Saccharomyces cerevisiae S288C: one gene and its partners. The protein of the gene in region 1 interacts with the protein of each later gene in a pairwise test. Each region holds a gene or a part of one and is shown in the gene's direction. Other genes may lie near its edges. The genes, in order: PSY2, RRD1 and SPT4.

Region 1 (5,154 bases):
CTTTTGCAACTGACAAATACGAGTAAGAGGCAGAGGCCGATGACAACTGCAGCAGAGGGTGCGTTAATAAATGATGGTCCGGACACTAATTTAAACGCGAATAACACCCAAATGAAAGTTGATTTAAATCCTTCAAACAGCATGGGACCTATAGATACAGAAGCCGTGATACGCCCATTGAAAGAAGCTTATGACGCAATCATTTCTGAAAAAGGCCAAAGAATTGTGCAATTAGAAAGAGAATTGGAATTACAGCGCCAAGAGACGCAGTGGTTAAGGAAAATGTTAATTGAAGACATGGGTTGTGTTAGAAGTATGTTAAGGGATTTACAAAGATGACACGATAATAATGTTTAACATATATTGCTTTCTCTTTTAATTTTCTGGTGTAGATTGGCGGTATAATTAACTATTTAACAGTGACGTTTACTATCTTACTGTTTCTTGTACTCTTTTATAATGAACAGACGTTATTATATAACTACGAACTAATGATAATTCTTTTTACGTTATTCCTGATGTAAAGGATACAAAATGGGTTTCTTTATTTTGCAGCAGAACCGTAAAATTTACGCTACTTTTACCGTGGGTCCTCTTATTTGATTGTTTCCGTCGCTACGAGCGAACAAGGGGTGGAGACAATAGGGATGGTGAATATATACACATACGTTCATATATAAGAAAAAAACTCAAGAAGAATATCAAACGACCAGGATCCTTGCTTATATTATTGTCTGTTGCTGGGCCAACACATATTTTCATTTCAACACACCAATCTCAGGTATTAAAGAGAAATCATTGTAAGGTAAAAATGTCTACGTTGAAAGTTGTTTCATCAAAGCTTGCAGCTGAAATCGACAAAGAATTGATGGGTCCTCAAATCGGATTCACTCTACAACAGCTAATGGAGTTAGCTGGGTTTAGTGTCGCGCAGGCTGTATGTCGCCAGTTTCCACTGAGAGGCAAGACAGAAACGGAAAAGGGCAAACATGTATTTGTTATTGCTGGGCCAGGTAACAATGGCGGGGATGGTCTCGTGTGCGCAAGACATTTGAAGCTTTTTGGTTACAACCCTGTTGTTTTCTACCCCAAGAGAAGCGAGCGCACTGAATTCTACAAACAGCTGGTTCACCAATTGAATTTTTTCAAAGTTCCTGTCCTGTCTCAAGATGAGGGAAACTGGCTGGAATATTTGAAGCCGGAAAAGACCTTATGCATTGTAGATGCAATATTTGGTTTTAGTTTCAAGCCTCCCATGAGAGAGCCATTCAAGGGCATTGTCGAAGAACTGTGCAAAGTGCAAAACATTATCCCGATTGTTTCGGTGGACGTCCCCACAGGTTGGGACGTTGACAAAGGTCCGATCTCTCAGCCCTCAATTAATCCTGCTGTTCTTGTATCTCTGACTGTCCCCAAGCCATGCAGCTCTCACATAAGGGAGAATCAAACAACTCATTACGTGGGGGGAAGATTCATTCCTCGAGATTTCGCCAATAAATTCGGCTTTGAGCCATTTGGATATGAATCCACAGACCAAATATTGAAACTCTGATAGCCCAAATCTATAATGCCACTACCATACATAATTTTTATATAATCCCTTATTTTGTGAACAAATAGCCATCATGATTCTCTTTTAAGATGATAAAACCGTCGTTTCTTTTTCTGACGCGCCATCTTTTCTTTTTCTATCTGTCTTTTTTTTTTTTCCTTTGGTGTTTCATCCGAAGAAGAAACAAAAGAAAGAAGACCAATACTTTCTAAAGGGCAATTGCAAGGTAGATATAACTAGAATTGCACAATAGAGATTGCTTGCATCAGTGGCATAGTTAACAATATTTTCTCGGCCTCCTTTGACGTAAAATCTAAAAGACCTAGTGCTTTCAAAACCCGCGCATACTGAAAAAAAAAAAAATAAAGAAGAGTGTACTGAACTGGTACTATAATTCATCGAAACTCATTTATTCCATATTAAACCGGTAGAAAACAGTATTTTTTTTGGTCTGTGTTTGAAACAGAAATTCTAACTGAAAAGTTTAGGATTTACGTATAGTAAGAGTAATGTCATTACCGGGTACACCTACTACATCTCCGACCCCGATGGATGAGGATACTGAACAAGCCGTTTCGGTTAATACTGAACCCAAAAGAGTAAAGGTTTACATTTTAGAGAACAACGAATGGAAAGACACAGGTACAGGGTTTTGTATAGGGGAGGTGGACGAAGGTAAGTTCGCATATCTTGTTGTCTCAGATGAAGACTCCCCAACTGAAACTTTACTAAAATCCAAACTAGAAGGAAATATTGAATATCAACGGCAGGAGGAAACGCTTATTGTTTGGAAGGATTTAGGGGGGAAAGATATAGCCTTGAGTTTTGAAGAAAGTATGGGATGTGACACCTTATGTGAATTCATTGTTCACGTCCAAAGGAACATAGAGTCAAATATTTCTTTAGTCACCGTAAAATCCAGCGACAACGGACTCGGGTCTGTTCACGACATTATAACGGGCCCTGTGACCTTGCCCTCCAACGACCAGCAACAGAATAGTCAAACTTTACTAGAAGCTCTAAAGATTTTGAATGAAAATACTTCTTTCGATTTTTTGAAAAACGAAACCATTGAGTTTATCCTCCAGTCAAATTACATTGATACACTGATTTCTCATTTCCACAAAGCAGAAGAAGAAAAGATACCGAAGGATTTATTTTTGCTAAGTAACATCATCAAAACTTTGATACTTTACAATAAAAGAGACATATTGGAGTCAATGGTGGAGGACGATAGGATTATGGGAATAGTTGGGATTTTAGAATACGATACTGAATACCCTACATCAAAGGCAAATCATAGGAAATATTTAGGATCAAAAGGTCCCAATTTCAAAGAGGTTATTCCATTGGAAAATGAGGACTTAAAAATAATAATGAAAAAATGTTTTCGCTTACAGTTCTTAAAAGACGTGGTATTAGTACGATTTTTAGACGATCATAATTTCAACTTAATCTCGGAAATTGTCATGGACCTGGAAACGTGTATAATCGACTTTCTTCAAGTAGGGACGTTTTTGGACAGACTAATAGAGCTTTATGATACCAAAACCCTTCCAGAAAGCTCTTCAGAGAAGGAGAAGTTTGTACAAAAACGAAAAGACGGGATTAGATTGTTGCAACAGTGTGTTCAAATGTCAATCAATTTAGATGCGGTTGACCGTTCTAAGTTCTATAAAACACTTGTTCGAAAGGGTCTATTCAAAGTTTTAGATTATGCATTTCACATGGAGACGGATAGTAATGTTAGGATTTTAGCTACGGATACTATCATTACTATAATCGAACACGATATCTTGTTAATTCACAACGTTCAGAATGAAGATTCTTTCAAACGGCAACATAAATCAGCGCCCGATGACAAGTCTTCCCATCGGAAATATCCGCAGGATTACAGCTCCAGTACTGATTCCAAGTTGTTATTGATACTTTCAACCATTCTTCTGTCCGACAGGAGTCCCGGATTGCGAGAACAAGTTGTGCAAGCGCTAAATACTTTGCTTCACCCTGAAGGATGTGTGGGTAATGGAGAAGGTTCATATGATCTTATGGGCAGATCAAATTATGAAGCTAAGAACACATCTGAAGATTTCCCAAGTTTCAGTTATGGTTTAAACTCGGATTCAATCAATTTAAATAACTATCACTATAGCAGCGATGAAATGAATAATCTAGAGCCAGAATCTGAATCTGAATTTCAAGTAATGGAATATTTTGCAAATTTCTATAATAAAATCGCACCCATACTGTTTGGTCCATTAATCAAGAAGGATATCACAACGGAAATGGCAGAAATAGATGGGCAAATAGAAAAGGTTACAAAAGACGATCTTTTGTTAATTCATTTAGTGAAATTGGTATCATTTGTTTGCACTGAGCATGATCGTGTCTTATCCAGAAGATTCATATTAGAAAACGGTATACTAGATTCTGTTAGCAAACTTATCGGCGGTAATCATATGATGCAGCTAAGGTTAACAGCAGTAAGATGCATTAAAAACCTTATGTGTCTCGATGATAAATACTATCATCGATATATGATTTCAAAAAATTTATATGCGCCGGTTTTTAAACTCTTCCAGGAGAACATAGATAAGAATAATCTTGCAAATTCATGCATTCAAGATTTTTTCCGCATTATTATAACAGAATGTAGAGCTTATCAAAGTGATGGCCATAACAGAAAGGAAAAAACCAATGGTTCTTATGATGGCAACGGTAATGACGTCAAAACGAACGTGAACAACAATAGGACAAACTTTACCATTTTAAACAAATACTTAGTTCAAACATATGGTGATGTCTTGAGAAAAGCTACTGATATCCCTTTCATCCAGGATATGCTAGAAACCGGGGAAGAAAACCAACCCGATCATTCTAGCTTTGAAAATAGCATTGAAGGGGGGAATGACATTTCTGTAAATATGTCAACAGATGGATTTGCTTCGAATCATTTAGAAGATATTGACATTAAAAACGTCAAAAGATTACATTCTGAGATTGAACACTTTGAAAATGACCCCCATTATTCTGGTGATCAGTTAGCATTTAAAAAAAGCGTTGACCAAATGAATGCAAGTACTTGAGTTTTTCCTTGTTGGAAAGAAGAATAAAAAGCTAGCACAACGGTCATGGTTGTAAGAAGTTTAACAACGATAGTGCACTCATTGTATATAAAATTCATCAATATACAATTAACTATCAAAAAGCATACGAGAAAGTGTCATATAATAATAGTACTCAATACCTATACGTATTATAATTTAGATGTCATACTCTTTATTAAGGCTTCTGGATACAACTCATGTCCAAAATAGGTCCCTAAATGCCACATACCACCGTCAACAACTAAGACGGTACCGGTGACATACGATGCGGCGGGTGAAAAAATATAAACAGTAGATTCGGCTATATCCCGTGTAGATCCAAGCCTTTGTAATGGTATCTTTGCCAAGGCCTTTTCCTTATATTTTTTGCCGGCTAATCTCTTCAAGCCTTCCGTATTATCGATAGCACCTGGAGCAATGCAATTCGAACGTATACCCAGAGGCCCCAACTCAACCGCTAAATTCTTTGCCAATGCGTCTATTCCCGCTTTAGCA
Region 2 (3,808 bases), on another chromosome or scaffold:
TGGGGATCAGAATTGGTAGCACCGTGCACAGGTGAGGGGCAGTGTTGATAAGATGTTTACGCTCGTTGAGTGCCTCGATGACCAGATCCAGTTGTGCCTTGGAGAACTCCCAGAAGGCCTTCTCTAAGTACCGCACCCCACCGTGAATCATCTTGGTAGATTTGGACGACGTTCCCGAGGCAAAATCCCCCTTTTCAACAAGGGCCACATTGAGTCCCCTGGTCGCAGCATCTAGGGCACATCCTGTCCCCGTGGCCCCGCCACCGATGATCAACACGTCGAATTGATGCGTCTTGGCCAGACGGTCCAGCAGGTCTCGTCTAGAGACCTGCGGTGGAGCGGCGGTGGGGAATTGCACCATGTAGCTCGGGTCATTGTGCACTAACGGCCTATCACCTTGGCTAGTCATCCAGTACAGCGTCCCCGTGGCTGTGGCCATGGCAGCAGCTGCACCGGCAGCTCTTCTTCTCGTTACCGAAAACATATATTAGTACGTATTTAGTCTTGTAGCAGTGATGGCAATAGCACGGTCAAGATAAGGGAGGGAGAGTCCTTGCTTTAGACCAAAGTTCCCTATTTGTGGCTGTTCTCTTTTAAGTTTAAATACGATTTTTAGCGTGCGGGGTTGTGAAATTTCCCCTGCCAAAACTGAAATAAAGTTGGGTGGATAACGTATCGGAGCAGAGAAAAGACATAAGGTCTGTTGCTGTATATAAGTATGTGTTGCTAAAAAGGAATTAGTGCAGTGATTATTGGTCACTCGCTGATGCCCTTGCGCTTGGCACGTTTCAGCTTCTTTCTAACCGCGAGGATGGGCACAGAGCAGACGAAGTTCTGCAGAGTGGACAGGATGACCGAGAGGGAGCAGCACAGGGCGACTGGCTTGAGGCCGTGGATCATCTCGTTGAGGAGGTGTTTTGGGTACGGATGGGTCAAGGAGAGGACGACGACGTCGAGGTCGTCGAGCACGCCCGCGACGCAGTCAAACAGGTGCATGACGTGCTTTCTGATTCTGGCAACGTTGGCGAACATCTGGGAGTCGTCCGTGGGCTTCGAGGGCTCCCAGTGGACAATGTAGACGGTGTCTCCCTGGTTGACAGCTGCGCCCATGAGATAGGTCAGGGCGTAGGTGGACTCGCTGCTCAGGTCCGTGTAGAGGATGAAGGACCTTTGGTTCCCGGCCTCTGCGCCGGCACCCTTGGTGAGTAGTTGCATGGCTCTGACGTAGCCTCCGTCGAGTTGCTCCAGAGACACGTCTTCGTTTTCGTGGCCACGGATGCTGATCTCGTACTTGGCTATCCAGGGCTTGCTGGAGTCTAGCACTTCGTTTATGCTGGTACAAAAGTTGGGTAACACTTTCATGCCCAGATCGTAGTGGAACTCCTCGTCAATCTCTAAATCGTTCTCTATATCGCTCACTTGCTCTTCATCGGACTCTTCCTCGTCCATATCGTCGCCGTCGCCGTCGTCGTCATCTTCGTCGTTGCCCTCACCTTCCTCTTCAGAATCCACATCCACGACCCTCAACCGCATCGAGGGGTCCTGCCTCAACACGGTCCACTTGAGGAACTCTTCCTCCCTTACTCTGCTGCGGCTACTGGCCCTGCTTCTCGACCGCGACAGACTGCTCACGTTTGAGTCTCGTTCGCCTCTTTTCTTCTTGCTACGACCTCTTTCCCTGTGGCCCCTTTCCATCTGCTCCGAGTCGAACTCCACCGTGGTGGGCGTTTCCGTTTTGATGCTGTGTAGATTCGATTGTGTTCCGTCAGGTTTAGTCAGCAATATGCTCTTCTGCATTGCGTACTTGGTTGTTTCTCTTGTTGGTTCTTTTGGTACTCACCCTTTCCATAGTCTCTTGTGTTTGATCAAGCCTTTTTTCCGGACCTTTAAAGCTTTCTTAAAAAGATAAAATAGGAAGAAAGTGCAAAGTGCAAAAGAACGCACATATGAACAAGCATTAAACGAGCAAAGAAATGTCTCTGGATCGTGTAGATTGGCCGCACGCCACCTTCTCTACGCCGGTGAAGCGTATCTTCGATACGCAGACAACGCTGGACTTCCAATCGTCACTAGCCATTCACAGAATCAAGTATCATCTTCACAAGTACACTACGTTGATATCGCACTGTTCTGACCCCGACCCGCACGCTACTGCGTCGTCGATCGCCATGGTTAACGGGCTGATGGGAGTGTTGGACAAGCTGGCACACCTGATCGACGAGACACCGCCTCTTCCAGGTCCTAGAAGGTATGGTAACCTAGCATGCCGCGAGTGGCATCACAAGCTGGATGAACGTTTGCCTCAGTGGCTGCAGGAAATGCTTCCCTCGGAATACCATGAGGTGGTGCCTGAATTGCAGTATTACCTGGGCAACAGCTTTGGTTCGTCGACAAGATTGGACTACGGCACGGGCCACGAACTTTCGTTCATGGCCACGGTCGCAGCACTGGACATGCTGGGGATGTTTCCGCACATGAGGGGGGCAGACGTTTTTCTGCTGTTCAACAAGTACTACACGATCATGAGGAGGCTGATCCTGACGTATACGCTGGAGCCCGCTGGGTCACATGGCGTGTGGGGGCTTGATGACCATTTCCACTTGGTGTACATCTTGGGCTCGTCTCAATGGCAGCTGCTTGATGCGCAAGCACCCTTGCAACCAAGAGAAATACTGGATAAGTCTCTGGTGCGCGAGTATAAGGACACCAACTTCTACTGCCAAGGCATAAACTTTATTAATGAGGTGAAAATGGGGCCCTTTGAAGAGCATTCCCCCATCCTATACGATATTGCCGTCACCGTTCCACGCTGGTCCAAAGTGTGTAAGGGGCTTCTAAAAATGTATTCTGTAGAGGTTCTGAAGAAGTTCCCCGTGGTGCAACATTTCTGGTTCGGCACAGGCTTCTTTCCCTGGGTCAACATTCAAAACGGCACTGATCTTCCAGTCTTTGAAGAAAAGGAGGAAGAGAGTATAGAACAGGCTAACGCAGGATCGCCCGGTCGAGAACAGACTTCAACACGATTCCCAACGTCCACGTCAATGCCTCCCCCAGGCGTTCCGCCGTCAGGTAACAATATCAACTATTTACTAAGCCATCAAAACCAGTCGCACCGGAACCAGACTTCTTTTTCAAGAGATAGACTACGTAGATAATATTAATTAAACATATAAATGTGTATGACAAGCATTATGACTTCTATTTTCGTTCTTTTTTACTTGCGTCTACAATATATAAGCATATAATCAGATGAAAAAAGGAAAAGGAAGCGGTAATACAAATAAACAAAGAAGTGGAAAAAGTCGCCACAGTGTAAGCAAATGAGTCACAAGAGAAGGGGCCTGGTAATATATCAGGATCAGAAGCAGCAACAACAACACCCCCCGGGGCAGTCCCTAAGCTCTATATCCTGGTCTCCAACCAGGCGACCTCATCACCCTTTAAAACAACAAAGCACCAACAGTTTCTCAGAAATACTATCGAAATCAAGTGTGCAACCGAACGTGCAACATGACGGTAATCATATGCCCATTTCATTGCTAGTTCTGAAACAAGAACATCATAAGCAGCAGCAGCAGCAGCAGCAGCGCCAGAATATCCGATCACAAAACTCTACGCCTCCCCTGCGACAGTTGGTTCAGGAGTCGCAGTGGACGAGCTCCGCAAGTAATAGTTCTCTAAAGAAACAGGAAAAGCAGCCGCAAACATTCTACAACACTGACTCTAAACTTGTTTCTCAACTGCATAGCTCCGTGAAGGACCTGGATGCCATAATCCAGACGCATAAACCAAAGTTTGACACAATTAT
Region 3 (2,881 bases), on another chromosome or scaffold:
AGATGATCAGTACTTATACTCAGACGATACTAACTCCAGTATCATAGCTGAAGAGGAGCTACATCATAGCGTAGATAAGTCCTCGAAGACAGACGTTACGGCAGAAACTACAGCTGTAGAACCTCATCCTCACAATTTAAGGCATGACTTGCCATATGAAGTGAGAGATGAAGCTGGGCGTAAATGGTGGAAATATTTTGATGAATTCGAGTATCGTGTTAATAAGGAATACAAGAAATCACGTAAGTGGTACGAGTTTTTGTATCCTAATCATACTACTCAAACCAAGGCTGAAAGACGGCTTCTTTACAAGCTAGACATTATTATTGCTTTATACTTTTTTATGTTATGTTGGTCCAAGTCAGTGGATTTGAATAACTACACTAACGCATATGTTTCCAATATGAAGGAAGATTTAAACATGAAAGGTAATGATTACGTTTACACTTCTACTATTGCTAATGTTGGTGCCATTGTCTTCCAATTACCATTTATGTATTTGTTACCAAGATTTCCCTCTCATATTATTTTGCCTGTAATGGACTTGGGCTGGACTTGGTTCACATTTGCATGTTATAGGGCAAACTCACTAGCCGAACTAAGGGCTTACAGATTTATTTTAAGTGCCTTTGGCGCTGCTTACTACCCAGTGTCCCAATATATACTAGGTTGTTGGTATGCCCCAGATGAAATTAATTCAAGAGTCTGTTTATTCTTTTGTGGGCAACAATTGGGTTCCGTGACTTCAGGACTTCTGCAAAGTCGCATATTCAAAAGTTTGAACGGCGTCCATGGTCTAGCAGGCTGGAGATGGATGTTTCTGATCGATGCCATTGCAATTTCTCTTCCCACGGCTATTATTGGTTTTTTTGTTATTCCCGGTGTACCATCTAAGTGTTACTCTTTATTTCTGACTGACGAAGAAATACGAATTGCAAGGGCCAGAAATAAGAGGAACCAAATCAAAGATGGTGTTGATAAAAGTAAGCTAGCCCCATTATGGAGCAGAAAACTTTGGAAGAAAGTATTTTGTACTCCAGCATTCTGGGTACTTGTTGTTTTTGATACATGTTCGTGGAATAACATGACTGCGTATAGTGGTTCATATACTTTGTGGTTAAAGTCTAATACAAAGTACTCCATTGCCCAAGTGAACAACCTGAGTGTTATACCCGCATGTTTAGGATTTGCGTATGTGATTTTTTGTGCCTTTGGTGCCGATTTATTTAGATGTAAGTGGATATTCATGGTTTTTGCTGCTATAATGAATACCGTTTCTTGTGCCTTACTTATCAAGTGGGATATTCCTTCGAAAGCTAAATGGTACGCTTTCTTCACCACGTATTTCAGTGTGGCCGCATCGCCTTGTCTATGGTCGTTTATTAATGACTTCTTAAGGTTTGATCCTCAGGTGAAGGCTATTACATGGATCGCCATTTATTCCTTCTCTCAATCCACTTACGCCTGGATTCCTACCTTGGCGTGGCCTACCGTGGAGTCACCACGTTTTAAGACTGGTTACACCGTGAGCTTAATTTTTGGTGCTATTTACGGTTTATGGACGTTTGTTGTACTTTTTTTTTACAAGAGAAACGAAAAGAAACATGCTCTAGGTAATGGTATCATCTTGTATGATAGTAATAAGGGTGAAGAGCTTCCAGAATTTGTAAAGAAAAATATGGAGGAAAGAGATGGTTACTACTATTTAAAGCGGTCCTCGTAGTCCAATTTACGTGAAGTAGATAGGTATATTACGCTTTAGACACCATACCTCAAATAAATATATTCATGTATATAATTTAATCATCTTCTATCTATAATTAATCTCGATGTTGATAAAGGTCACCTTATACGTTCTATGAGTGAAATCGAGTGAAAAAGTGAAATTTAAGAAAGGGCTCGAAGGATGTACTGTGTAATAATTACACCTGGCCACATTCAGTTTGGCAAAAGCGAACGAGGTACAGTGTAAGAGATGTCTAGTGAAAGAGCCTGTATGCTGTGTGGCATAGTGCAGACCACAAATGAGTTTAATAGAGATGGTTGTCCCAACTGTCAGGGTATTTTTGAAGAGGCAGGTGTTTCTACAATGGAATGTACGTCGCCTTCTTTCGAGGGCCTCGTAGGAATGTGTAAGCCTACTAAGTCGTGGGTAGCAAAGTGGCTGAGCGTAGATCATAGTATAGCTGGTATGTACGCCATCAAGGTCGATGGTAGACTACCAGCTGAGGTTGTGGAGCTGTTGCCTCACTACAAACCGAGGGATGGCAGTCAAGTTGAGTAAAACCTTCCGTTCTGATATCACATGTATAATAGTAATGAATTTTTTTTACTTTTTTTTTTTTTTAGTAAATATTCTAGCATATGAGTTTATGCTTTCATTTATTTAACGTTCTGCACTTTTGTTTTTGCTGGCAAACCCAATTTTTCTACCGTCCAGTAATTCAACTAAGGCTAAAAAGACTTTCATTAGAAAAAAAAGGTCCAAGGATAGGAAAATTTCAAGATAAAGTATGGCATTATGTTAAAGAGGTTAGCCAATCGTCAAAATGGTTTTGCGTCATTCTCGTGCAGCTCAGTCGGTCTGCGATATGGTAGGACTAATCCAAGTACAAAGAGAAGCTTTTCACTTTTTCAAAGTGTAGCGGACACGTTTTTAACAGTGCATGAAGCCTCACATATACCATGGATAGTGCTTGTTCCTTTGACTACTATGACCCTTAGAACCCTCGTGACGCTGCCATTCAGTATATGGCAGCGGAGGAGAATTTTGAAACAACAAGAACTGAGGAAATTAGTACAGCCAATAACGCCCATTATTAAACTTCGACTGGCAGCCGTTACTAATAAAAAGTCTAGAAATGCCGCCAGAATTAGCTCC

What was found.
Region 2: the proteins of PSY2 (region 1) and RRD1 interact in binary tests that used the Saccharomyces cerevisiae proteins (3 or more experiments, as listed by UniProt).
Region 3: the proteins of PSY2 (region 1) and SPT4 interact in a two-hybrid assay, tested with the Saccharomyces cerevisiae proteins (one study listed by BioGRID).

Annotation. Positions count from the first base shown.
Region 1 is NC_001146.8:260,111-265,264, reverse strand, and holds PSY2 (Psy2p), read left to right. Parts: upstream 1-2,061; coding exon 2,062-4,638; downstream 4,639-5,154. Other genes in the region: GCR2 (Gcr2p), read left to right, coding at 1-339; NNR1 (NADHX epimerase), read left to right, coding at 812-1,552; SPS19 (2,4-dienoyl-CoA reductase (NADPH)), read right to left, coding at 4,809-5,154.
Region 2 is NC_001141.2:53,225-57,032, forward strand, and holds RRD1 (peptidylprolyl isomerase RRD1), read left to right. Parts: upstream 1-1,973; coding exon 1,974-3,155; downstream 3,156-3,808. Other genes in the region: GUT2 (glycerol-3-phosphate dehydrogenase), read right to left, coding at 1-484; IMP21 (Imp21p), read right to left, coding at 757-1,797; VPR1 (Vpr1p), read left to right, coding at 3,321-3,808. UniProt on the Saccharomyces cerevisiae protein: PPIases accelerate the folding of proteins. It catalyzes the cis-trans isomerization of proline imidic peptide bonds in oligopeptides.
Region 3 is NC_001139.9:616,919-619,799, reverse strand, and holds SPT4 (transcription elongation factor SPT4), read left to right. Parts: upstream 1-1,975; coding exon 1,976-2,284; downstream 2,285-2,881. Other genes in the region: VHT1 (Vht1p), read left to right, coding at 1-1,723; membrane insertase COX18, read left to right, coding at 2,522-2,881.